Linked DNA regions of Xenopus tropicalis. The protein of the gene in region 2 purifies or fractionates together with the protein of the main gene of each other region. This does not show direct contact. Links are inferred from orthologs where the notes say so. Each region holds a gene or a part of one and is shown on either strand. Other genes may lie near its edges. The genes, in order: eftud2, sf3b4, snrpa1, ilf2, ddx42, dhx15 and rbm17.

Region 1 (3,500 bases), on a different chromosome or scaffold from region 2:
CTCGAGTATATACGGTAAACCTTTTTTTTCTATAAGTAAAATTACTCTAAACAGCCTCCAGAATTACCTACCTTTGTCCCAGTATTCTCTCTGGCCTGGTTCCTCAGTTAGAAGGTAATCGTTTTTCTTTGCTTCCTTGTGCAGAGTGAAGCCCCACCCCCACTTCCTGTTCAGTTCTCTCTTCAATTCGACTACCTGTAGTCGACCTGGAGAGCCTTCTGGGCATGCCTGGAGGAAGCAGGTGCCAGTCTGTGCATTAGCAGGGGTTTTTTTTTTTTTGATGAGAGACCTGAACAGGAAGTGGGGGCGGGGCTTCACTCTGCACAAGGAAGCAAAGAAAAACGATTAACTTCTAATGGAGGAACCAGGTCAGAGAAAATGCTGGGACAAAGGTAGGTAATTCTGGAGGCTGTTTAGAGTAATTTTACTGATAGTAAAAAAAAAAAGGTTTACTTATTCTTTAAGCACTAGAATATTGCAGTAACTGGCATTAAACAAATAAATGTCAAGTCGTTTTTTTTGCTTTCTGCTGTGAATGAGTTTGTGCCTTTGCATTGTAGCAAATTTCTGACATTGTCAAATACAGCCATATGAAAGGAATTCAGAGGCCATTTAATTAGGGATGCTTAACAATGATGGGGTTTTAACAACTGGTTTAGCCTCTGCTTCAGGCAGAAAAGAAAATTTACACCCTCCTACAATTACATACGTTTTCGGATTGAAGTAGATGTCTCCCCACAATCGCTTTGCAAACTCCTGGTAATTGATGTCCCCTGCAAAGAAAGGGACGGATTTAACCCATAAACAACTGGGATCATTTAATGATAAGAAAACCTGCAAGGCTTATATTAGAATAGACTTTAACCTATGTCCCCTTACCGTATGTGTCAGCATAAATCTTGGCAAATGATCCCAATGTAAAGCAGATGCTGTACTGTGAGCTAGCAAAACAGACGTTTCCCAGGAGAGGAGAGAGAATTAGGTTCTCGTCTGTGGAATACATGCTGTAGAGAAAAAACAAGACTTGTCAGGGAGTGTCATACTCTTGGGACAGAAGACGACAGTGCAGTGCAGTCAGGGCAGGACCCGCTTAAAAATGTAATGGTTCTTAGCCAGCCCTGTAAAAAGCAGAATGTTTACAAACTCTGATTTATTAGCAGATTTATACTTCTAATACCAGGGTCTGAGGCTCTGATTATTTCTTAACTGATTATAATGTGTGAATATCTCAAACCACATAAAAAAAAAAATTATATGTACATTGCAAAAGAGACACGCTCAACATTGAAGTGTGTTTTTAAATTGAGTTTAAATCCCCTTTAAGGGCCATATAAAAAGTGGCCTTTTCTCCACTGGTGTATGTAGGCTGATCCGCTGCTTTCTGCGCCTAAATCACTGTGCTTTGACAGGCTTGGCGTTGGTCTGCATTAACATGGAAGCTTTTGATGCAAAAATGCTTACTTTCAGGTTTCCGCAATGGAATCTTCCCTGACTGTGCACTAACAGGTTAATGCTGTGCCTGTCAATCCACAGTGATCTAAGGTGTGTAATGAAGCAGATCAGCACTCTCTCTTCTGGCATCGATACATCATCAAAATGCCATGCAGTTTCTTAAACCCATTCTACCCAATCACCTAAGCAGTCCATTCACTTCATCCACAATGTGCCGCAGTTTGTAATAGGCGTCAGTCGGAGGCAGCTTAAGCTCAAGAATCAGCCTGTCTATCTTGTTGATGCAGACAGTGACGGCAAGACGTTCCTGAACAGCATGTTTAATCAGTCTCTCTGTGTTCAGCATAACCTGGGGAGAAAGAAAAAAGTAAACAAGGGTCTTGGCAAGAGATAGCACTAAGTGAACTACAAATAAAGGAGAAATAGATGAACAATGATTGCTGCATTGGTGAAAAGTTCTGTCTACTTGAGAATCCATTTTTACTCTTTGGCAAGTTTAGAAGGTGGTCACTGGAGAGAGATGACATTTACATCACATGGGGAACACACCTAAAGCTAATGCCCCATGGGGAGATTTAGTTGCTGCGATGTTAAAAAAAAACAGGTTCCAGCGACAAGTCGTTTGTTTTGTCTCTACATAGAGAAATTTAAATCGCCAACCAACAATACTACTTTAAATAGCTTATCGCTCCAAATAGCTATGAGACCCTTTTTCGAGCAATTTTACAAAGAAACATTTGTCATTCAAAACTACTGAAATCGCTGAAAGTAAAACCCACTAAATTTGCTTCGATATCCCCATTGCACTGAATGTAATTTCTAATTGTGGGTGTGGAATATGACACCTGCATGAAATCTCTAGTAATCGATTGTTAGTAAAGGATGAGCGACTTGTCCCTGGAACTCGTGTTTTAAAAATCGCAGCGACTAAATCTCCCCATGGGACATTAGCCTAACAAAAGTAAAAACGTACCCCCTCAGCAGCATCAATAAACAACACCACTCCATCAGAGATCCGAAATCCAGCTGTAACTTCATCTGAAAAGTTAACATGACCTAAAAAAAAAAAAAAAGAAGGCATTACTATAAGTAATATAAGTTCCATGCAGGATGCTGCCGCTTTGCAGAGCGATTTGACAAAATTAGATAACTGGGCAGCAAACTGGAAAATGAGGTTCAATGTTGATAAGTGCAAAGTTATGCACTTTGGTAGAAATAATATAAACGCAAACTATCTACTGAATGGTAGTGTGTTGGGGGTATCCTTAATGGAGAAGGATCTAGGGGTTTTTGTTGATAACAAGTTGTCTAATTCCAGGCAGTGTCATTCTGTGGCTACTAAAGCAAATAAAGTGCTGTCTTGTATAAAAAAGGGCATTGACTCAAGGGATGAGAACATAATTTTGCCCCTTTATAGGTCCCTGGTAAGGCCTCACCTTGAGTATGCAGTGCAGTTTTGGGCTCCAGTCCTTAAGAAGGATATTAATGAGCTGGAGAGAGTGCAGAGACGTGCAACTAAACTGGTTAAGGGGATGGAAGATTTAAACTATGAGGTTAGACTGTCGAGGTTGGGGTTGTTTTCTCTGGAAAAGAGGCGCTTGCGAGGGGACATGATTACTCTGTACAAGTACATTAGAGGGGATTATAGGCAGTTGGGGGATGTTCTTTTTTCCCATAAAAACAATCAACGCACCAGAGGTCACCCCTTTAGATTAGAGGAAAGGAGTTTCCATTTGAAGCAGCGTAGGTGGTTTTTCACGGTGAGGGCAGTGAGGTTATGGAATGCCCTTCCTAGTGATGTGGTAATGGCAGATTCTGTTAATGCCTTTAAGAGGGGCCTGGATGAGTTCTTGATCAATCAGAATATCCAAGGCTATTGTGATACTAATATCTACAGTTAGTACTAGTGGTTGTATTTATAGTTTATGTATGTGAGTGTATAGATTGGTAGGTGTGGGTTAGGTGTGCTGGGTTTACTTGGATGGGTTGAACTTGATGGACACAGGTCTTTTTTCAACCCTATGTAACTATGTAACTATGTAACTATT
Region 2 (4,004 bases):
TGGTTAGTACCTTTGTCCCTTCCTAAACCCCACCAACAGGGACCCCCAAACCTGCTTAGTTGTTGTATCTGGTTAGAAGAAGAAAAGTGCAGGTTTGGCAGCTGCCATCTTGGGCTGCTCTGGCTCCCCTCACTACTGCTCCACCAGTCTGCTTTTTATATCCAGGGGCAACAAACAAGGAGTTTTTGGTACCAAGGCATTCACCAGGCTTTCAGTTACCTTTAACATTAAAGGTTTAAAAATATACATCAGACACAATAGTCAAATCTACTATTTGGCCAATAAGACTTTCTTGTCTCACTAAATTCTCAACCAACAGACATCTCTATGTAAAAGGGGAGGAGCATTGGTCTTTACATGTGACCCTTGTATGTTCCTTTAGGGTGAAGACACACAGAGCTACTAGTAGCAGCTACTTTTTCACAGCTACTAAACGCCAAAAAATCCCCTGCCATAGACAATACTGAGAATTCCCTCTGCTAAGGGCTCTGGCACACGGGGAGATTAGTCGCCCGCGACAAAACTCCCTGTTCGCGGGCGACTAATCTCCCTGAGTTGCCTTCCCCTGCCATCCCATCGGCGACAATGTAAGTCGCCGGTGGGATGGCACACGCGGCGGCGCGATTTCCCGAAATCGCCGAAAAAGATTTGGGAAATCGCGCCGCCGCGTGTGCCATCCCGCCGGCGACTTACATGTTTGCCAGTGGGATGGCGGGTCATGACAACTCGGGGAGATTAGTCGCCCGCGAACAGGGAGTTTTGTCGCGGGCGACTAATCTCCCCGTGTGCCAGAGCCCTAAAACACATTGAGACTGTTATCAGTAAATGATCAGCATTGTCTATTTAAGTAGCGACTACAAGTAGTTGCTACTAGTAGCTCCGTGTGTCTGCACCCTTAGCTCACACCAGGGACCCTTTAATAATCCTTGGTGCCCATAGAAACAATGAAACACCCTCTATGCGCTGACAATACTGGCACATTTACTGTAAAATCTTAAAAAAATATAAAAATAAATAAATAACCCCCTCAGAGTTTACTACACGTTTACTTTTAGCTTTGGGGTTTCATTACAATACAAATATCTCCGCCGGAAAGCATTGACTGCATAAGGCATGTTAATAAAGTTATTCCATCTAAAAAAAAAAAAAAAAAGTGGTTGCGGAAGTAAGCGTTCTGAGGCCGGAAGTAGGGAAGCGGAAACTGAAGCAGCGAGGTGGCTGAGTGGTTGGCGGCGAGAAAATGGCGGCTGGGCCGATATCTGAACGGAACCAGGGTAAGGAACGTACAGACTGCGTATGGGCTGCATGGGGTGATTGGGGCGGAGGGAACTGTTATGCCGGGGGGGCTGGAAGTAGGGGTATCCGGGGTTTACAGGGAACAGTAAGAGCTCAGAGCAGGGGGAGGCGGGCTGCACTGTGTGCATGAGGTGCAGGCTCCATCTCTGTGCAAAAGTCATTTGGACACAAAGCTGTTCTTATAATATCGGCAGCCCGGCCTGTAACTGTACCTGAATCTACACAGAAACATTGATCTGCTTCTTCCCCACCAATACAGTTTATAGTGCTATCCCCATAAACACTGTGTATAATGCACAGAACTAATGCTAAGCAGCCTCCCTATATACATTCATTACACATTTCCAACGTTTATAAAGTTTCTTGCAAAATATAATTGTTAGCGAAAGCCGTCTGTCTTATTATAGTCTACACTGCTGGTTCTGACTTCTGAAACAATGTAACAAAGGCCAGGGCTATTAAACTATGAAATGGTTTCAAGAATAAGAAAGGGGCAGATAGATACTACTTCCAATAGCAATAGCATTTACCTTTGAACCACTGATTTTTTTTATTACCGTATATACTCGAGTATAAGCCGATCCGAATATAAGCCGAGGTACCTAATTTTACCTAAGAAAACTGGAAAAACTTATTGACTTGAGTATAAGCCGACCAGTTACATGGGAGTAGGAGAAACAATAGGTTACCTCAAAGCTGTTCTATCTCATGGTGGCGATTTGGGACATCAGTGCCCGACAAGACAAGGATGAGACACCCACAGAATGGCCACCCAGCACCCTGCTATATTTCAATGAGACCCAAAGCAACTCCCGGTGTGCAAGTGAAGCAGCGGTACCTTGCGGTGTGCCCTGTCAGCAGCGCCAGAGGATCCGTAAGCCCAGCATTTACGCTGCTCTTTAAATAAGCGGCGGCGCTCCTCTTAATTCCAACCTGTGTGTCTGCAAGGAGCCGTCATGTAATCGCCTCGCCAGCTGCCGTGTGACAAGGGTTAAAGAAACAGAGCGCTCTCGGCACAATTATTGCAATAAGCAGCACACCCGACAGCAACAAGACACCACGGTCCGGGAGTTTGGCGCTGTTTGGCCGGTCCTTAGAGTTGCGGGACAACCTCAATAAAGTCCGCGAACGGGTCCTTCGCTATCTGGCGGTAGTCCGAGCGCTATCTTCCGCTACGTCACAGGTGTGCAGGCAGGTTCGCATGCAACGAGCAGCTGCGAAACCATTTACCGTATATATACGCGAGTATATGCGCGAGTATAAGCCGAGGGTTCCTTTTTCAGCACATTTTTAGTGCTGAAAAACTCGGCTTATACTCGAGTATATACGGTATATATATATGTTGGAAAGTTGATGAAAACTTTCTCTCGTTATCTTTCGGGTTTATAGGTGGATATCTCCAGGGTTGTAAAGGGAAAGCTAAACCCTGTAGCAAGGAGAGTTTGTATTACAAGGATTAAAGGAACAGTAACACCAAAAAATGAAAGTGTATAAGGGCTCTGGAACACGAGGAGATTTGTCGCCGGCGATTTTTAAAAGAGCGATTTGGCGACAAGACACCAATGCTAAATCAATGGAAATTGCCAGCGTCAAAACATACGAGGCTACTTCAGATCGCCTGCTGTTTCAAGTCGCACACAGACCCTTTTCTGAGCGACTTGAGGGGGGTTAACTGTTGAGTGTACCATGGGTAGCAGATCGCCTGGAGCTCAACTCGCATGAAATCTCTTTGAGGGTATTCTCGTGGCGACTTGTCGCCAAAGCGCCAGGGGGAAAAAACGCAGACGACAAATCTCCTCGTGTGCCAGAGCCCTAAAAGTAACTAAAATATAATGTGCTGCTGCCCTGCACTGGTAAAAGCTGTGTGTTTGCTTCAGAAAGTCTACTATAATTTATATAAATAAGCTGCTATGTAGCCATGGGGGCAGCCATTCAAAGGAGAAAAGGCACAGGCACATAGCAGATAACAGATAAAACACTATTGTATTCTACAGAACTTATCTGTTATCTGCTATGTAACCTGTGCCTTTTCTCCTCTTTTCCAGCTTGAATGGCTGCCCCTGTGGCTACACAGCAGCTTATCATATAAATTATAGTAGTGTTACTGTAGCAAACACACCAGTTTTACCAGTTCAGGGCAACAGTGCCTCGGATCTATGATCTGTGCATTTATTCAGAGTGTAACGGGGATATTTAAAGAGAAGGTGGAATAGCTGATTTGCCGTGTACTATAACTTTTTTTTTTTTTCTTTTTGGATTTAGATGCCACAGTGTATGTCGGAGGCCTGGATGAAAAGGTGTCTGAGCCTCTTCTATGGGAGCTCTTCTTGCAAGCAGGGCCTGTAGTGAATACACACATGCCCAAAGACAGGGTCACGGGGCAGCATCAAGGTAAGATTGGCACCTCTTAACCATTATTTCTTATAGCTGTGTATAGGCAGGAATGGAGGGGAATGCTGTGGAGAAGTTGTTGCAATTTGTAACAAGAATGTTTTAGTCCCTCCTCCCCTGCCAGGATTTCAAATGATGCAGAAAGAGAAGAACTGTTTTGCAGCTGGATTTCAGCATATAAAAATGGTATTTATTCATGCTTTTTGAAGGAACAGATTACAGGGTATTTTGGGGGTTTCTGTGTGCGGGAAGCAATAGTTTCCACATCGTTTGATCATGGTTAAAGCAACATATCTACTTGGTCACTGTCTCTTCCC
Region 3 (3,937 bases), on a different chromosome or scaffold from region 2:
CCCTTCATAAAGGCTAATACCAAACCCCATACATCTGTCTCCTCTGAGAAGTTTCTTTGCATTACCCATGTATAGGCTGCTAACTGCATTCACTTGGCTTAGCCTCCTACTGCGGCTCTTTTACCAACACTTAAGCATTGGTATATCAGTGCATTATTACTAACCAGTACAATTCCAGTCATTCCCATTCAGTCTCTGACCTGCTGCAGACCAAGGCTAATCACTGGTTGCTATTAGTAACTGTGCAGAGAAAACTTTGCTTGGGTTGGTAATTATGTCCTTACTGACTTAGCAGGTCCTGATTCACCCATTTCTTAATGAAACAACAGTAGCTAATAGTGTAGCTTCCACTGATTTAGATTTCCCTCAATCACCTTTTGGGCTCTGGCACACGGGGAGATTAGTCGCCCGCGACCGCGTTGGCTTGTTGATGCAGTCCCCGGACCTATATCCGCCGCAATAATTCAATCGTTTGGCCCCAGGGTAAGGCACCTTGTGTATGGGCACCTTAAGGGCTCTGGCACACGGGGAGATTAGTCGCCCGCGGCAAAACTCCCTGTTCGCGGGCGACTAATCTCCCCGAGTTGCCTTCCCCTGCCATCCCATCGGCGATAATGTAAGTCGCCGGTGGGATGGCAGACGCGGCGGGGCGATTTCGGCAAATCGCTGAAAAAGACTCGCAAGGCTTTTTCGGCGATTTGCACGAAATTGCGCCGCCGCGTCTGCCATCTTGCCGGCGACTAATCTCCCCGTGTGCCAGAGCCCTAAGGGTGAAGATACAGGGAGCTACTTAGTAGCAGCTACTTGTCACGGCTACTAATCACCAGAAAATCCCCTGCCATAGACAGTACTGAGAATTGCCTCTGCTAAAACACACGTAGAGACAATTATCAGTAAATGATCAGCTTTGTCTGTTTTAGTAGCCATGACAAGTAGCTTCTACTAGTAGCTCCGTGTGTATTCTTCCAAGGTTTTCTTATTCTTCGCTTCTTCTAGCTGTCGCCACAAGCTTTGCGCTCGATTATTCTTTACTCATGTACTTTCCCCTGTCTCTTGTACAGCGTCACAGGTACATGAGGCAGCGCTAGGCTCCGCCCCTTTTCAAAGCGGCTTGCTGATTGGCCAGTAGAGCGCCTAGCCATAGCGGAAGTGACTCTCTAGTGGACTTCCTGTCGTGTGGTGCCGCGCGTTGGCTTTGGCTCTGGCTTGCAGCTTTCCCGGGCATCATGGTGAAACTCACGGCTGATTTGATTGAGCAGGCTGCGCAGTACACTAACGCGGTGCGGGACCGAGAGCTGGACCTCAGGGGTGAGCGGCGGCCTCTCCCGGCCTCATTGGGAGACTCTCGGCTGCCAGTTGTTCTCATTTCCAGGGCCAGTCCGCCAATCTGCACTCACTCTCCATTGTATTCTGCGTTTGTTTGTTTGTTTGAGCTTATAGTTATTTCCCTAACATCCGGCCGTTAGTTTGGGATTTAGACTGGATCGCAGTGTAATGAATTAGGGAAAACAACTCAGTGTGTGTATGGTTAAATAGTCCGGGGTATTGGCTTCCCAAAAGTGCTGGGGGGGGGGGGTTATATTTTTTTTGGCAAGTGTGTGTGTGATTGGTGTGTTGGTTCTATATGAGATATATGTATACACACACACACTTACCATTGCGGTAGGATCTAGTATTCCTTATGTACAGTGGCAGCAGGCACAGAAGCATTAGAGCTTTATGCACTTATATTCTTTTAGTGGGGAGAATATCTTTGAGTTCCCTGCTGTATTGTATCAGTCATGTCAACCAAATATTATGAGTATGGAGCCCCTACAATACTTGGACGCCTGCTCCAGCTCCCCCCTATTACACTATATGGAACTTATTTGAATGTGGCTGAAGAATCCATAATATTTAGGCATAGTTGTAACACTGTGTGGGTAACAGCTGTGTGTGTCGTGGTTAATATTCAGTCCTTTTATAGGTTTTGTATGTAAAGAAATCCTTCTGGGGCTGGGGAGGGCAGTTGTTGCTTGGAGTTGTAGTTTTACTACAGCTGGGGTGAGCATGTCTTATAAAATTATTAGTATTAAGAAATAACATAAATGTTGTCGTTTGAGGAGATTCCTTGCAGAGTGGGCATATGCCTTGGCCATTTGTAAGGCTACCACTTTTACAATAGGTTTAAATTGGTGCATAGACAAAACAGAAGTGATTTGTTTGCTAACCTTGACCTGCAGCTTAAGGGTAGGTAACTGACCCCAGTAAAATAAAAACCCACTATTGCTTTGTGAGGCTGTGTAGCTGGGGCTATGTTCTGATAGGCTTTTGCCCTTTAGCCAAACACAACATTGCCTGACCCTAAGCCCAGTGACACTGACAAAGCTGCTCCTTGTTGGAGACTGACTCAGTAAGTGGTGGGCAGTTGGGAGGCAGGGAGGGCATCTGCACTAGAAAACCTTTTGATATAAGTAGCAGGGGAATGAGGCACATTCATGTTCAAACCTGGATTGTGTTACTACCCCAGTTGCTTGTTTTGGGAGCAAATGGAAACTACAGATATTGGCAAAGTCATAGAGGATGTTTGCAGAGACACTGTGTATACTTCTTTGCTCTCAGCCACACACACATATATCCAGTGGCAGTATTATCAACTCTCAGTTCATATGTAAATGTTATCTCTGATTCTCTCACACAGGCTACAAAATCCCAGTGATTGAGAATCTTGGGGCAACACTAGACCAGTTTGATACAATTGATTGTTCAGATAATGAGATTAGAAAACTGGATGGATTTCCTTTATTGAAAAGACTTAAGACCCTCCTACTAAACAATAACAGAATATGGTAAGTTTGGTGCTTTATTATAGCTATATATGCTACTGGTTCTTACACTGTCATTGCTATCTGTGTATATGATACTTTTTTGACATGTATTCAGAATCTGAATCTGAATGCACTTCATTTCAAAATAAAGGCTTTTTTTTTTTATAACAGACAGTAAAGGAAAGGGTGTATTGAACTTTTGGCTCTCAATAAAAGCACCTTAGCAGCCAAAAGTATGCTATAACCCTAAAGCAGCAAACTGTTTGCCACTGTGTTCACTCACATTAGCGTTTGGGTTGGTTGCTGCACACACTGCATTAATCACTGGTGTAGGAAGAAAATAAATACCTCGGTAACACATAAGCATATCCTTATTCCTTCTGGGTGAACTGACTTTAAGATTTGTTACATAACACCAAGAAAAGGCAAACCAAGTATGATCATTTTGTTTGAATGAATTTTCCTCAAAAGATCCATCATGTCTCCATGTAGTCTATAGACTTGCTATGCCCACTAATCAGTCTCGAAGGGTTCATCAGCCTATCGGACCTTAAATCCACAGCTCCTTCTTGCTCCTAAGAGCAAATGATGACTGGGTGAATGTAACAGATTACTCAAGAGTAGCTTTTGAAATGGCTGGTTCCAATCACCAACAAAATGTATATGTTACAAAGCCCCATGAATCATCAGCATATCTTATTTTTAGCTAGTACGCATCTGGGGAGACCATAATAAGGAGCAATAACATCAGCATTAAAAGCAAAATTCCATTCCTACTTGAATGCAGCCAAACCACATGTATAAACAGAGAGTGCAAGTCCTTCTCATTATGGAGTGGATCTCTTAGGACCGGCAGCCAGCATTATTTTATAAAGGGTTGAATTGAATGATTATAGGCCTTTGTAAAAGTTAAATAAGTAACCCTGTGAGCTGCAGACTTGATTTATTCACTGGATTTTTAAAAAAATAAAACTGACTGGTGCCTTTTATGGTTAAAAAACATATTTATTCTCATTAATGACAAGTAGAGGTAATAAGAGTCCTGCATAAAACCCTCAAAGCACCCCAGCATGGCCTGTACTCTGTTTAGCACTGCACTTTCTCAAAGTGTTAGATGCATTTTAACATTA
Region 4 (3,989 bases), about 15 Mb from region 2:
ATCAAATTGTCGATAACGTTGTTGATTTTGGTGACCAAAGAAAGGATTGAGGCCTGGTGGGGGGAGAGCACAAAGGGTATAATGAATATGGGCAGAGGCAACAGTGCCGGGGGTGGGGGGCAAGGGAAGCATATAGCTACCTGCTCGGCTGTGCTGGGGGCCAGATCTTGGTTTCGTTTGAGCAGTGACTCGCTGAATGAGCTATCGTCGGGGGCGGGTTTCACACGCGGGAAGGCCATTTCACACTGAAAAGAAGGGTAAGTCAGTATGTAAGCACAAGGATAGAGAAGATATATCTATCTATATAGATATATATATACATGTACAGAATGTGGGGGGAAGGAAAAGCCACTTACCACGTGGAAATCAAAGGGAATGTGAGGGACGAAGGGTCTGAAACTGTAAGAGAAAGAATAAAAGGGTCATATTTACATTAGAGAACATGTACCTGCACTGCACAATGTGGCTACTGAATAAGGAATATGGCTACCCTATGGCACAGAGTCAGGGGGGCTGCACCTTTACACGCAACTGTTAGTATGTTATACAATGGCCAATTCAATGCAACTTTTCAATTGGTCTTCATTATTTATTTATTATTTTTTCATCATTTGCCTTCCTCTTATTCTCTTCAGCTTTCAAAATGGGGGTCACTGACCCCGGCAGCCAGAAAACTTCTCTGTGAGGCTCCAGTTTTATGGTTATTGTTACTTTTTATTCCTTATCTTTCTATTCAGCCCCTCCCCTATTCATAGATCAGTCTCTTAATCAAGCCACTACATGGGTGCTAAGGTGATTTAGCACCCACCTAGCAACCAGATAGCTGCTGAACAAAAATGTAAATAATTAAAAAACTATGAATACAAAATGAAGACCAACTGCAAGCTGTCTCGGAACATTACCCTCTACATCACATTTCCACCCAGGAGCGACTGACGGGAGTATGTAGTTACAATAGGCAGCTCACCCTGTGTTAGGTCCCACTCTGGAGCCAAAGCGGCCACGTCCACGTCCTCGTTCACCCCTAAGAAAAGTAGAACAATTTAGAATACGTACATTTCTGGGGGGGGGGGGGGCACCTTAGATTGTAAGCGTCACAGGACACTTAGCTCTTAATCTCTAATATAACTACTTTGTATTTATTACTGTATGACCCTCTGTGTTCTACTCATTTATTATCACTATATCATTATTCAAACATCCAGCGCCCAATATTTGTTATCCGATCATGTACCCAGGGCCCCCCTATCCCTTCCCTATATATTAGGTACAGTACCCCCAGGGCCCCCCTATCCCTTCCCTATATATTAGGTACAGTCCCCCCAGGGCCCCCCTATCCCTTCCCTATATATTAGGTACAGTCCCCCCAGGGCCCCCCTATCCCTTCCCTATATATTAGGTACAGTCCCCCCAGGGCCCCCCTATCCCTTCCCTATATATTAGGTACAGTCCCCCCAGGGCCCCCCTATCCCTTCCCTATATATTAGGTACAGGTCCCCCCAGGGGCCCCCCTATCCCTCCCTATATATTAGGTACAGTCCCCCCAGGGCCCCCCTATCCCTTCCCTATATATTAGGTACAGTCCCCCCAGGGCCCCCCTATCCCTTCCCTATATATTAGGTACAGTCCCCCAGGGCCCCCCTATCCCTTCCCTATATATTAGGTACAGTTCCCCCAGGGCCCCCTTCCCTTCCTATATATTAGGTACAGTCCCCCCAGGGCCCCCCTATCCCTTCCCTATATATTAGGTACAGTCCCCCCAGGGCCCCCCTATCCCTTCCCTATATATTAGGTACAGTCCCCCCAGGGGCCCCCCTATCCCTTCCCTATATATTAGGTACAGTCCCCCCAGGGCCCCCCTATCCCTTCCCTATATATTAGGTACAGTCCCCCCAGGGCCCCCCTATCCCTTCCCTATATATTAGGTACAGTCCCCCCAGGGCCCCCCTATCCCTTCCCTATATATTAGGTACAGTCCCCCCCAGGGGCCCCCCTATCCCTTCCCTATATATTAGGTACAGTCCCCCAGGGCCCCCCTATCCCTTCCCTATATATTAGGTACAGTCCCCCCAGGGCCCCCCTATCCCTTCCCTATATATTAGGTACAGTCCCCCCAGGGCCCCCCTATCCCTTCCCTATATATTAGGTACAGTCCCCCCAGGGCCCCCCTATCCCTTCCCTATATATTAGGTACAGTCCCCCAGGGCCCCCCTATCCCTTCCCTATATATTAGGTACAGTCCCCCCAGGGCCCCCCTATCCCCTTCCCTATATATTAGGTACATTCCCCCCAGGGCCCCCTATCCCTTCCCTATATATTAGGTACATTCCCCCCAGGGCCCCCCTATCCCTCCCTATATATTAGGTACAGTTCCCCCCAGGGCCCCCCCCCTATATATTAGGTACAGTACCCCCAGGGCCCCCCTATATATTAGGTACAGTCCCCCAGGGCCCCCCTATATATTAGGTACAGTACCCCCAGGGCCCCCCTATATATTAGGTACAGTACCCCCAGGGCCCCCCTATATATTAGGTACAGTACCCCCAGGGCCCCCCTATATATTAGGTACAGTACCCCCCGGAGCCCCCCTATCCTATTCTCAGTAGGACCAGGCCCCCCGGAGCCCAGCACACAATGTGCCCCACAATAGGCCCCGGAAGGCGAGAAGGAAACCCGGCACCGCTCCCGGTCCCCCCAATCCCCATGGCAGCTCCCCACTCGGCCCCCGAACCCCCCGCACCTCATGTTTCAGATCTTCGTTCCTCACACTCCCGCACAATGGACAACCTCTCGGCCCTCGATACAGCCACACTAGACCAACAATCTGCTTTCCTATTGGCTATAACGACCGGTTCCACAGCCAATCAGCATCACGAACAGTCAACTCCCTCCCTCTCGGCGTCTGACAACCTATCCAAACCCGCTCGGCAAACGCATCGCTGTGACGGACGGGGACACTCACCAATCGCCGAAGGCGGAGTAAGCCCGCCCACACAGGACGCTACTTCCATAATGGCGGCAGATTCCACTTTTTCCCGCTAAACTTTATTTATAATCAACCAACACAACGCCTGGACAAAATGGCTGCTGGTATTTTTACTTCCAGTATTGCATTTGTATCGCCCTGTAAAGAAATGGCGCTAACAATGGTGGAAAAACTCTCACAAAATAGTTTGTTTATGAAAAATGTGCAAGTCTGTGAGGGTTTATTGGGGAGATACAAGTAATGGGGGGGGGGGGCTGTTCCTGTAGTTACCCCACAGCCTTTCCCATTCTGACTCCTGTAATACAGTGTGTGGCAGCAGTCAATTCCTTCTCCAGCTCTGTGAATCTGTTGGCTTCTGCTACATTGCTTCAGAAGTCAGAACCAGCAGGGCAGCAGACAAACACTGTAATAGCAACAAACATCTTACAAGTCTCTTCTGCCTTTTTCCAGCTTTCTAATGGGGGTCACTGACCCCGGCAACCAAAAAACAACTACTGCTCTGTAAGGCTACAATATTATTGTTATTTTTTATCACTTATCTTTCCATTCAGTCCCTCTCCTATTTATATTCCAGTCTCTCATTCAAACAACTGCCTGGTTGCTAAGGTAAATAAGACCCTGGCAACCGCATAGGTGCATAGTAAGAGCTCCAGGACAAAAACCTAAATAACTGAAAAACCACAAAAAAAAAGTTCATTTAAAGGGGAACTAGCCCTTTAACATAGATATGTTACTGCTGCATCCCCCCCATGAGGTTCCTTCAGGGGTATTTACATTGAAATCTGCCCCAACAGGACTCCGCCCTGTGCTATTGTGATCCGCACACACCTTTTGGTGCTACTGAGAGACACAATGTCCCAGCAGGGGAGCAACGGCAGCTTCCGCCCTGTTAGTACCTACCCCCAGGTTTTATTCATATTCACTGCAACCTGCAGAACTGCCCCGGGGGCAGATGCTACACTGCTGGGCCCCATCCTGCCGTTATTTAGGAATGAATACGAAG
Region 5 (3,988 bases), on a different chromosome or scaffold from region 2:
CATAATGTGTGTGGAATGTGACAGGGACCTTAGACAGTAAGGTCCACTGGGGTAAAGACTGATGGGATTGAATAACAATCTCTTAAAAGCATTGGGGAATGGGGAATGGGGAATATGTCCCCACTACACGAAGAGTAATAAGAAAGCTTTATTCCAGTGCTATACGATTGTGGGCCAGTTATTTACAATACTTATATGGTCAGGGGCAAATTTATAATGAAATTATAATGTCATACAAAGAGGTCAGTAAAGCCTTTAGCAATTTGGGGGCCACATAAATCTCCTGGAGGGTCACATTAAGCCTCTGGGCCTTTAGATGGACAGACCTGATATCATAAGGAACTACCTATTTTTGTGCTGCATCATGCATTTCCCCTCCATCACTTACGCATTCTCTTCATCGAAGTTGGCCCGCTTGGAGCCAATTTTGTAGAATGAGGGGAGTTGGTTACTAGTGGATGACCCAAACTTTGCTGCCGAAGACTGAAAGGCACTGTGTGAGGCTTGGGGCAACTTCGGCTCCTCCTTTTTCCCAGTGGAGATGGCAAATCCACCAAATCCAAATCCACGTTTGTTGCCGGGTCCTCCTTTGTTCCAGTTCATGGTTACGCTGAGAAAACAAGACGACATTAGCTAATAAGGATGTACATATAATAAAGCAGGAAATCTATGGGTAATGCCACACATGGAGACTCTTTCTTGTCCCAGGAAAAGTTTCAGCAACACAAGGCAGAGGGAAAGGATGCAGGACTCCTCCCATAATTCAGTAAGAATTGCCCAAAAACATTAGTCCTGTCAATGTTTTCATGCAGCCACACACCAATTCCTATCATTATGTTTTGCATCTAATTTTCATGTGAACCTATAAAGTAAAAACAGGATATGATTTGGGCATAACAAACAAATAGGCAGTACACCTTCACTCAGAGTCAGATCAGGATACCCACAGTGTGAGTATCATGTGAGTGTGGGAATAAGAGGGCAGCAGAATAAGAAAATGGGAGTTTCAGAATAGTCAGTGGGTTCATTAAAAATGAATATTTCAGTCCTAATATAAATGGCTTACAGGCCATTCATTCATTAAGGACACACAGTGACCCTTAATGTTTTGATCGCTGCTGCAAGTAGATATAATTAAAACACTGAGGTGATGTAGGCCTAAAACTTCTATGATCCTCATTAAAGACAGCTGTACACTGAATAAATATCTTAATTCATAAAATGTCTACTAAGCAAATCACAAGACATTTTAACCAAACAGCAACCAGCCTGAGAGCAAATATACTTGTGTTTCCATTTTAAAGATAAACTGGGAATCAGCCTTTTAAAACCTGTTAGCAAATCAGCTCTCATGCTTCTCAATAAGTAAATAAAACTAGAATTCTGACACAAGATAAACAAAATTAAATATACCACGGGTGTAGCCTGTGATGATTATTATTAACATGTATTTATAAAGCGCCAACATAATCTGCAGCGCTGTACAATAAATTGGTTTACACATTGGACACACAGAATTACATACAAACCAATAACCGATACAAGAGATGAAGATGGCCCTGCCCAAAAGTGCTTACATTCTATAACAGTGATCCCCAACCAGTGGCTCAGGGGCAACATGTTGCTCCCCAACCCCTTGGATGTTGCTCTCAGTGCCACCAAACCAGGGAGTTATTTTTGAATTCCTGACTTGGGGGCAAGTTTTGGTTGAATAAAAACAAGATTTCCTACCAAATAAAGCCCCTGTAAGCTGATAGGGTGCATAGAGGCTGCCTAATAGCCAATCTTAGCCCTTATTTGGCTCCTCCATGAACTTTTATGGTGCTTGTGTTGCTCTCCAAGTCTTTTTACAATTGACTGTGGCTCACGAGTAAGAAAGGTTGGGGAGCGCTGTTCTATAACATCCACCTGTAACTCTAAGTACCCCCTTCCTAAATATACACGGAACATTCTAGCATTCCATCTTTTGTGTTTATACAGATCATGTCCCGCTGGTAACAGACAATTCCTAGCACTAATGGCAGTCTTTATAAAGGTTTGAGGGGCATCAGCGGCCCCTGAGTTTAAGGATATCAGACAATTTGGACAATGGGTGACGTGTAATGTACACAAGTGGCTGGCTGTTTTTTTACATCATCCGGCATGGTTTCCATAGAATCACCCACTCTCGCTATGTTCAGCTGCTCACCCCCATGCAGAATGGAACTACAGCACCACTGCATGTGATCCCCAAAGAAAAAACACAAAGGTGTGTGTGTGTTAAACAGATTCACTGCCCCTGTCTCCTTATGTTGCTAATGGCACTTTTGTGTTTGCAGCATGTTGTATGGCTGATGGGCACCCCGGCTCACCTATATTAGAACTTTCATAACCAGCAGCCCTCATATACATTCAACAGGGATGTTCACTCAATGGCTTTCCACCTGCTGCTGGCCTACAACTCCTCACACCCTATAAGAGAGAATGCTGGGAGTTGTAGAGCTGCAGACTGGACTACTAGATATAATGAACAACTGCTCTCTCCTCCCCTGCCGTGTCCGTACAAATGGCCTCCTCCTCGCTAATACTGTCAGCCAAGGCAGCGAGTTGGCCCCGCACAGCGCCTCCTGTTTTCTCGGCCTTGCGACTTACAATTGTTCGAGCACACAATCCGGTTATTTCCCCCACCTCCCCTTGTCCCACACTCCGCACCTCCTCCTTTGCGCCGTCCGCCGCAGTTACCTCCGAGCTCAGCGCCGCGTAAACATGTCCGTCGCACCGAGATGACGTCAGGGATAGGCAGCCCGTCATGTGACCTGTATTGTACAGCATTGAAGTGTTCTGAGAACGCTATATAATGTGCATAAGCTAAGTCCTACCGGTGCCTTCAGTAACAGCCACCAAGTGGGTTGTCTCCATGCTTTTTTCACAGAAATGTCCAATGTTATGAGTAAGTGTGAGATGAAATGAGGGGTTGGTATGAAAGCAATCCTGAAACCAGTGGTGCTCATTTACTAGCACCTGGCAAATTTGCAAATTTGAAGTCATTTTTTTTCTTTGCTCAATTTGAAGCTGGCTGAACAAAGGTAGCCATTGGTTGCTATGGGTTACTGCCTACACATAGTACTTTATGAAACTATTATATTGTTCTAATGATGACTATTAGGGCTAAACTTCACAGAAGATTTTGTAGTATGGTGGGACCAATAAAAGGCACCCTACAAGTCTATAGTCGCATGGGTCAAAATATAATGAATAAACAGCAAAAATTTCAATGGAATAAAAATCACAACATTTATTGGCTCAAATAAATACAACAAAAACTAACATATAAATCAGGGGTAGGGAACCTATGGCTCGGGAGCCAGTTGTGGCTCTTTTGATGGCTGCATCTGGCTCGCTGCCAAATCTTTAATAAAAAAAATAACGGGGGGCGTGGCCTGCGATCGGCGGATAGAAGACGTGTTCTAAGCCTTAGAACACATCTTCTATCCGCCGAGCGCAGGCCATGCCCTCCTCCGCATCGCATCCAGCATTCTTGGCACCCACCCTACGTTGTCCCACAGCATCCACAGCCAAACATACTGTATGGCTCTCACGGAATTACATTTTAAAATTTGTGGTGTTTATGGCTCTCTCAGCCAAAAAGGTTCCCGACCCCTGATATAAATCATACTATACCAAAAACGACAGATGCATCCCAGTGCCTCATACTACCCACTCTCCTAATATGACAATATCAGGTAAAATCTGACCCACGAAATCTGAATAAATAAATTCTGGTATCCTCTTACACCCATGCACAGTGCACATATTCATGATAATGACTCAGAAGGGACTTAGCTAGGGAAATAAAGGGTTTTAATAGGCCCCCTTACCCCACTCCCCGACTTCTGTCTAATGCATGGTGCTTGGCAGGTCTGCATAGTGATGGTAGAAGTGGGTCACCATTATTGTTTTTATTAAAGTGACATTTCTTTTTGCAACAGACTAGTCCTTTAAAAAAGAG
Region 6 (3,500 bases), on a different chromosome or scaffold from region 2:
AACATACTAAAAGTTAATTTATAGGTGAACAACCCCTTTAACATTTTAGCTGTTTGACTTTGCCTGTTAGGTTGCACTAATATGTGCACATTTTGTTTATAGCTTGTAAATGCTTTAGTTAAATGCATCATGTTTGCTGTTCCATTGCTTGTGAGGAATTGATCCTGACTGGGCAAAGTTGTACACAGAAGCCAATCATCTTGGTGACACTGCTCATGTTCAGTGTGCTTTGGCCTGTTGTTGAGAAGGTGGGCTTAGGGATCAGCAAAAAATCATTGATGGTCTCTCACTGTTCTTACTTTTGCAGATTTTTTTGACAGATTAAACCTCAGTAGAAACTGGTCTAATTATTTGGCCAGAAGATAAGAACATAAAGAAATTTGCTTAGAGCTGTTCCCGTGCCTCTCTGAATGTGGTTTTTATTTGTATAGATGCATGGATATTTGGCACATTACTGTACAGAATCGGCCCTGGTATGGCTGCCTTTAATCTGTACAGCTGACTATGTGTAATTTAAGGCTGTAAGGGTGCGTATTGGCTAAGCAGGTGGTGCGCATAATGAGTGAACCTGGCTGTCCACACTGGGAGCTCCCACTCTGTGTAGGCGACCTAGTGCCAGCGAGGGCTATTGTTTCCACCCAACCACAGTGTGGGCTTTATTAGCCCTCACCTCTGGTGGGAGAAGACATTTCATTGTCATAGGTGTCCATTAAGTGGCCACAGAACTTATTTTGCTCTTGGTTGGCATCGGCAGGTCTGCTACAGCATGGTCTTCAAGTTTATTTGTAGCACTGTAAATATAAAGCATTACGAGGAAGTGCTGACATATGCGTGGGCTTATCTGTTAGTATAGTGCTATAAGCAGGAGTTTTTTAAATTTGACTGTATTTAGGGCAGCTTTATTAAAGGTCTGCTTCTCGTTAGGGCCCTTTTACACAGGGTGGTTTATTGTACTACCGAAAATCCCGTTTGCGAAAATGCATAAGGAGGTATTTTGAAAGAGATTAATTTTCTATGTGTCCGGGACCTTAAATACTTTGTCTTTGGTTTCTGCTTAATAAAATACTCATTACAAATTGGTATTGTCTATTTTTTATGCACCTTTTAATAATTGCATTTCAGAACCAATTGCTGACTATATAAAACAGTCACTTGTTAGATATTATGCATTATCAAAAAGTTATATTGATAGATAAATAAAAATTACTTTTTGCCAGTGAGAGATGTTTAGTAGCCCACATGTACTGTCTGTAGACACAATATATGTGCTGCAGCTTAGTATGTCACTTGGCCAGCAGAATGTTAGTACAGGTGTGGGACCTATTATCCAGAATGCTCGGGACCTGGGGTTTTCTGGATAAGGGATCTTTCCGTAATTTGGATCTCCATAACTTAAGTCTGCTAAAAAAATCATTTAAATATTGAATAAACCCAGTAGGAAATCAATTTCAAAAATTAAAATTATTTGCTTATAATGGAGTCTATGGGAGATGGCCTTTCCGTAATTCTGAACTTTCTGGATAATGGGTTTCCAAATAACAGATCCTATACCTGTAGTGACAAATATGTCTGTGCTTACCAGGACAGCCCAGGTAAACGTAACCCCTCATACTTTGTGATAATGGTTGGGGAGGATTTTGTGAAGCAAAACCGGGTATGAAGAGTTTAATATTGCTTCTGAAGCTTTTAAGACATGCAGGATACTAGGCTGTTTGCAGAGGGCATAATGGTGATGTGGGTGGTTGACAACATTTTAAAATAATTTTAGTAAATTGAGTATAGAGCTTTTTGAGCTGTGAGAAATTCTAAACTGTACATTGTAGTCTTATGAGGTTAGATACATGCTCGGTAGTGTCGGTGTTCATTTGTACATGAGAATGGGCTTGTGTACCTGCAAACAGACAGCATTACATTAACTGTGCCAACAATACAGTGCAAGGTATATGAGCTGTGCGTGTAATAAACTTCAGAGCCGAGTCAATAAAAATTGCTGTTATTTAAATGATAAAAAGGAACCCTATGGCCATGGAATCCTTATAAAGGTCATCTGTCAAGATTCCTACTAGGCACCTGGACTGGTAGTGTACTAGTGTCATAGATACTCTTCTCTTAATGACTCGATCACCAATGTAATATTCTGGATGTACACTACTGAATGACATAGTACCCTGCAACTGTATTCTGCTCTATTATACCCAATCTTCCAGAGCCATATATTGGCCCGTAACTACAATGCTGCAGGTATGGTCTGCAAAGTTGAATAGCAGTCAGCGGCTCTATATTGTTGTAAAGTCTCAATGGCAAGGTGGCCAGTAACTATTTGTCCAGATAAAAAATCCATTGCAAAGTGCAGAGCACAGCTTTGGCAAATGCAGGCCAGTCCTGTCTTTACCAACTGCCATAAATTAGATGGAAAGGAAAGGGCCCCAGTTGAGAACAAATATCTGGTTGCTGGTCACTAGATGTGGGCAAACTTAAGACTTTTTATATATATATACATTTTTGATTATAGATAATCTTACCTGTGATAATAACACAAATTGTTTTTCAATCCCTAGAAAAGACAGAGATCGAGAGAGAGATGACCGATCTAAGGACCGGGACCGTGACAGAGATAGGGATCGGGAAAGGGACAGAGACAAGGATAAAGACTCACGTGGGTCATCCAATTCTACGTATATTACAGCTAGTGGAATGCCACCTCTAAAACCTGCAGCGGTTGCTCAAGGCATTAATCCCTTTACCAACTTACCCCACACTCCGCGCTACTATGACATCTTAAAAAAGAGGCTACTGTTGCCAGTATGGGAATACAAAGAACGGTTTACTGAAATTCTTATGAAGAACCAGAGCTTTGTATTGGTTGGTGAGACTGGATCTGGGAAAACTACTCAGGTATTTTATTTTGCCTGCATTTAGCTTTTCTGGCAAGGATTATTTTTGTGTTATACAAATATAACAATAAAGCAAACTGTATATTTATTTCAAAGAATAATTATCATAGAATGAAGGTGGTCCCTGCTGCATAGACCTTACAGTCGGTGGTTAATATAAGGGCACACATAGTATAGTAATCAGTACTGTTCTTCACATTGGGTAGGGCATTAACCCATTATTAGTCAGATTTTCATATATTTTGTTAGTGCTCTAAATGTAGTTTGCAGTAGTCTAGGTGGCATAGGATAAGGGGATTGTTTTAAGGAATAAGAGCAAGGTTTTAGTTTAGGCCAAAGACTTGAGTGCTTGTCAAATAGCAGAAGGTAGTGAAGAGGTTAACCCAAGAAGTTTTTTGCGTGGTCAGTCAACACTTGGTATAAAAGTAGGGTACAAATAATATAACTATTGATTTAACATCTACTGTATTAATATAGAAATAGCATATAACCATCATTCCTCTGCCCCCCAAGCATCAAAATCCTGACTGGCACAGGGATTGTTTTAGGGTTGGCAGAAAGAAAGAGCATTAGACCTGGATCCCATCATCAAAACATAGAGGAAAA
Region 7 (3,500 bases), on a different chromosome or scaffold from region 2:
GTAATTTGCGCTTTTTCTGCTATTGGAAAACACTCAATTTTTGTTGTCAAAAGCTCATTCTGCTGATTTCTACTTCTAGAACATGGTAGGTGCTGGGGAAGTTGATGAAGATCTGGAAGCTGAAACAAAGGAAGAGTGTGAAAAATACGGCAAAGTTGGAAAATGTGTCATTTTTGAGGTAATAACCAGCATGTATGGTATAGGTGTCGTGCTTTTGCTTTACTTAGTACTAATGATATGAGTGCTGCCTTAGTATGTTATGCAGTAGCAGTGGTGTATCCTTAGTATTGTAACTGTGTTTATGAAATGCAGCAACAGTATTCAAGGGCACCCATCCTAAAGGCCAGATAAAATAAGATTCGTTTTTAGTTAGATGCTTGTAGGGGTACACTGACATTGAGCACATGGCTTCGATCAGAAGAACTGGGAATGGAAGTGAGCAGGTATAAATTAAGCTAAAAAGTGCACAAAATGGCATATATATTTTTTTTTTGTTAATATTATTTATTTTATTTTTTTTTAAAACTTAGCTTTTTGTTTAGCAGCTGTCCAGTTTTAATCGTATTTTGCTACTAGGGACTCTTTAACAGTAGCACCAGGCAGTGGTTTCAGCAACAGACTGGAAGTTGAATAGGCGAGGGCCTAAACAGAAATTGTAACAAATAAAATTGTAACAGTAAATTTGGTCATTACAAAGCAGTAGTTTGTTGTTGTCCCATATCAGTGTTGTTTTCTGAAAAATATGTGCACATTTTGATTTTGAAAATTTAAAACAGGGTAGTGTTTCCCACTGTGTTTGACCACCTCTTCTTTTAACAACACTCTTGTAACCATTTACTGGCTTTTGAAATGTGCATTGATAAGCCCAGATAGTCCTTCTCTTCAGCCCGGAGGAGGCAGCATATATAATTTACCGAAAAGAATTTCACCACAGGAAAGTTTTCCACTTTGCCTCAGTCCATCTGAATGAGCTTGGACCCAGAGAAGGTGGTAGTGTTTCTGAATCATTTTTATATATGTTTTTTTTCTTTGCATTGTAAATGATGCAGTGATTAACCATGTTCAGACAGTGGTTTTTGGAAATATTCCGGAGCCCCTGCAGTGATTTCCACTACAGAATCATGTCTGTTTTAAATGCAGTGCCAACTGAGGGCCCAAAGATTATGGCCATACAATATTGGTTTTTGGCCTTGTTCCTTGTGTACTGTGATTTCTTAATCCTCTAAATTTTTTAACGATATTATGTTCTGTAGATGATGAAATCCCCAATCCTTTGTCATTTTTGTTTAGGAATGTTATTAAATTGTTGCAATATTTGACGGTGCAGGGTTTGACAGAGAGTGGTACCCCTCCCCATATTTACTTTTGAAAGATTCAGCCTCTCTGGGATCCGTCCTTTTTAGCATTACGTTTTTGCCAATATCAAAGGGTGTTAAAATATATGGACGATGATGCACTCCCTATAGTAATTTGCAAAGTCATGAGTTTTGACACCACATGTCTTTCTGTGTGTCACCTCATTTCTGAATATTTTTTTTATATAGGTCACATTATCCCTCAAATTATGCTCAGTTTATTGTGTATATACAAATATCATAGTATCCTTCAATAGACTGTAACTGAAGATTGCTGAAACCTTTGTTTTTCAAAAAGAAAAAAACAACAACAAAAATGAGTTAGTATACTTGATTCTTATATACTTATTCTGACTTGGCAGAAGCTATGAGTCTATATAGGAAAACTAGGGTACACTTTGACAAAAATTAACCAAATAATATGGTCATAAGCCTTTCAATAGGTTTTTGCTATTGAAGTATGTTGAGATATGTAATTCTTTAACACTGCATAAGTGACACAAATGGAAGGGCAAGCATACTTATATATAGGCTTGTCTTAAAAGATGTTGGCTGTGCTCAAGTCAAAATTATAATAATTCTAATAATTGCTGTGTGTGTTTTTGTTTCCAGATTCCTGGTACACCAGATGATGAGGCTGTAAGAATATTTTTGGAATTTGAAAGGGTTGAATCTGCAATTAAAGGTAAATTGCTTGTTTTACCGAAACTGAGATTTTTGTGTGCATAACAAAGTGATCAATGATAAATTAAACCTATTTCAGAACTTGTTTGTCCGAGATAATAATGAAGTATTGTAATACACACAGAAATCCAGGTATAGTAGGCTGCATCACTTCCCAAGTTATGTAATATACTATAGCAAATATTAAGCAAATGGAAGGTCATAAAAGCTGCACTCTTAGGGGCACATTTACTAACCCACGAACGGGCCGAATGCGTCCGATTGCGATTTTTTCGTAATGATCGGTATTTTGCGATTTTTTCGTAATGATCGGTATTTTGCGATTTTTTCGGAAATGATCGCGACTTTTTCGTTACCAATACGATTTTTTGCGAAAAAACGCGAGTTTTTCGTAGCCATTCCGAAAGTTGCGCAAAATCTGGCGATTTTTTTCGTAGCGTTAAAACTTGCGCGAAAAGTCGCGATTTTTTCATAGAGTTAAAACTTGCGCGAAACGTTGCGCCTTTTAAGTTTTTAACGCTACGAAAAAATCGCCAGATTTTGCGCAACTTTCGGAATGGCTACGAAAAACTCGCATTTTTTCGCGCAAATAATGGCTACGAAAAACTCGCGTTTTTTCGCGCAAATCGTATTGGTAACGAAAAAGTCGCGATAATTTCCGAAAAGTCGTAAAGGCGCTGAAAAAATCGCAAAAAATACGAAAAAGTCGCAAAATGTTCGTTTTCCAATCGGAATTTTTCCAATTCGAATTCGTGTCTTAGTAAATCAGCCCCTTAGACTTAAAGTCATGCCATTGTTGTCACCAATAAAAATAATACCTAACATAGGGTTTCTCACATGGGAGCAACATGGAATATTGTTTTTCTGACTTGTTTGTCAGGTTTGCTTCAAACAATAAGAAAATGATAACTGCTATGGGTTTGGTAGAATTTTAGCTGTTAGCTGCTTCTGGCTCTATAGTCCAGTATAGCCCAGCAAGACCTTTAATGAACCTGTAACTTTTTAAATCTATATTCTGAATAATGCTACCTAGTAAACTTTGCATTCTAAGCAATAAGCAGTTTTTATGCTTCCAGGAACTTCTTGTATGAAAAATCAGTCTTTATGTGCAGTCAGTGAATAATACTGATTGTCTTCTTTTGAAGTTAAATGTGATTTCTGAAGTGATGCTTCCACTTCCACTCTTGCAATATCATATCAAATGAGAGCTGTCTGGTGTGATCTTCTGTGCAGGTTTTCATTCCAACTTCACTTAACATAGAAAACAAATAGTAATCAAAGTTATTGCACTTACACTACATTTTAGAACGCTTTTCAGTCTATGGTATATTCAGAAAGTGGGTGGGTATTAGTATAAAGAATAAAAAAGTGCTAAAAATAAAAGCATTATGACATGAAGCTGAACATAGATAAGATCAGTCCCATTTGCCACATGGGCAGATTTTGTCTGACAGAACCACT

The links.
Region 1: the proteins of sf3b4 (region 2) and eftud2 purify together in Homo sapiens (affinity purification with mass spectrometry; 3 studies listed by BioGRID and IntAct, with this or other methods). This does not show direct contact. The link is inferred for Xenopus tropicalis from reciprocal best matches to the Homo sapiens genes SF3B4 and EFTUD2.
Region 3: the proteins of sf3b4 (region 2) and snrpa1 purify together in Homo sapiens (affinity purification with mass spectrometry; 3 studies listed by BioGRID and IntAct, counting the BioPlex papers as one, with this or other methods). This does not show direct contact. The link is inferred for Xenopus tropicalis from reciprocal best matches to the Homo sapiens genes SF3B4 and SNRPA1.
Region 4: the proteins of sf3b4 (region 2) and ilf2 fractionate together in Homo sapiens (co-fractionation; 3 studies listed by BioGRID, with this or other methods). This does not show direct contact. The link is inferred for Xenopus tropicalis from reciprocal best matches to the Homo sapiens genes SF3B4 and ILF2.
Region 5: the proteins of sf3b4 (region 2) and ddx42 purify together in Homo sapiens (affinity purification with mass spectrometry; 3 studies listed by BioGRID and IntAct, with this or other methods). This does not show direct contact. The link is inferred for Xenopus tropicalis from reciprocal best matches to the Homo sapiens genes SF3B4 and DDX42.
Region 6: the proteins of sf3b4 (region 2) and dhx15 purify together in Homo sapiens (co-immunoprecipitation; 4 studies listed by BioGRID and IntAct, with this or other methods). This does not show direct contact. The link is inferred for Xenopus tropicalis from reciprocal best matches to the Homo sapiens genes SF3B4 and DHX15.
Region 7: the proteins of sf3b4 (region 2) and rbm17 purify together in Homo sapiens (affinity purification with mass spectrometry; 4 studies listed by BioGRID and IntAct, with this or other methods). This does not show direct contact. The link is inferred for Xenopus tropicalis from reciprocal best matches to the Homo sapiens genes SF3B4 and RBM17.

The regions. Positions count from the first base shown.
Region 1 is NC_030686.2:17,873,738-17,877,237, reverse strand, and holds part of eftud2 (116 kDa U5 small nuclear ribonucleoprotein component), read right to left. Parts: intron 2,509-3,500; coding exon 2,426-2,508; intron 1,802-2,425; coding exon 1,635-1,801; intron 1,005-1,634; coding exon 880-1,004; intron 774-879; coding exon 710-773; intron 1-709. UniProt on the Homo sapiens protein: Required for pre-mRNA splicing as component of the spliceosome, including pre-catalytic, catalytic and post-catalytic spliceosomal complexes. Component of the U5 snRNP and the U4/U6-U5 tri-snRNP complex, a building block of the spliceosome.
Region 2 is NC_030684.2:128,887,628-128,891,631, reverse strand, and holds the start of sf3b4 (splicing factor 3B subunit 4), read left to right. Parts: upstream 1-1,204; 5' UTR 1,205-1,240; coding exon 1,241-1,274; intron 1,275-3,558; coding exon 3,559-3,687; intron 3,688-4,004. UniProt on the Homo sapiens protein: Component of the 17S U2 SnRNP complex of the spliceosome, a large ribonucleoprotein complex that removes introns from transcribed pre-mRNAs.
Region 3 is NC_030679.2:115,912,779-115,916,715, reverse strand, and holds the start of snrpa1 (U2 small nuclear ribonucleoprotein A'), read left to right. Parts: upstream 1-1,137; 5' UTR 1,138-1,226; coding exon 1,227-1,308; intron 1,309-2,680; coding exon 2,681-2,828; intron 2,829-3,937. UniProt on the Homo sapiens protein: Involved in pre-mRNA splicing as component of the spliceosome. Associated with sn-RNP U2, where it contributes to the binding of stem loop IV of U2 snRNA.
Region 4 is NC_030684.2:144,160,612-144,164,600, reverse strand, and holds the start of ilf2 (interleukin enhancer-binding factor 2 homolog), read right to left. Parts: upstream 2,801-3,989; 5' UTR 2,746-2,800; coding exon 2,741-2,745; intron 1,025-2,740; coding exon 968-1,024; intron 400-967; coding exon 357-399; intron 246-356; coding exon 141-245; intron 54-140; coding exon 1-53. UniProt on the Homo sapiens protein: Chromatin-interacting protein that forms a stable heterodimer with interleukin enhancer-binding factor 3/ILF3 and plays a role in several biological processes including transcription, innate immunity or cell growth.
Region 5 is NC_030686.2:17,157,282-17,161,269, reverse strand, and holds the start of ddx42 (ATP-dependent RNA helicase DDX42), read right to left. Parts: upstream 2,801-3,988; 5' UTR 2,692-2,800; exon of another isoform or gene 2,632-2,691; intron 2,601-2,631; exon of another isoform or gene 2,352-2,600; intron 611-2,351; 5' UTR 604-610; coding exon 389-603; intron 1-388. UniProt on the Homo sapiens protein: ATP-dependent RNA helicase that binds to partially double-stranded RNAs (dsRNAs) in order to unwind RNA secondary structures. Unwinding is promoted in the presence of single-strand binding proteins.
Region 6 is NC_030677.2:31,430,013-31,433,512, reverse strand, and holds part of dhx15 (pre-mRNA-splicing factor ATP-dependent RNA helicase DHX15), read left to right. Parts: intron 1-2,558; coding exon 2,559-2,895; intron 2,896-3,500.
Region 7 is NC_030679.2:84,301,937-84,305,436, reverse strand, and holds part of rbm17 (splicing factor 45), read left to right. Parts: intron 1-79; coding exon 80-178; intron 179-1,967; coding exon 1,968-2,040; intron 2,041-3,500. UniProt on the Homo sapiens protein: Splice factor that binds to the single-stranded 3'AG at the exon/intron border and promotes its utilization in the second catalytic step. Involved in the regulation of alternative splicing and the utilization of cryptic splice sites.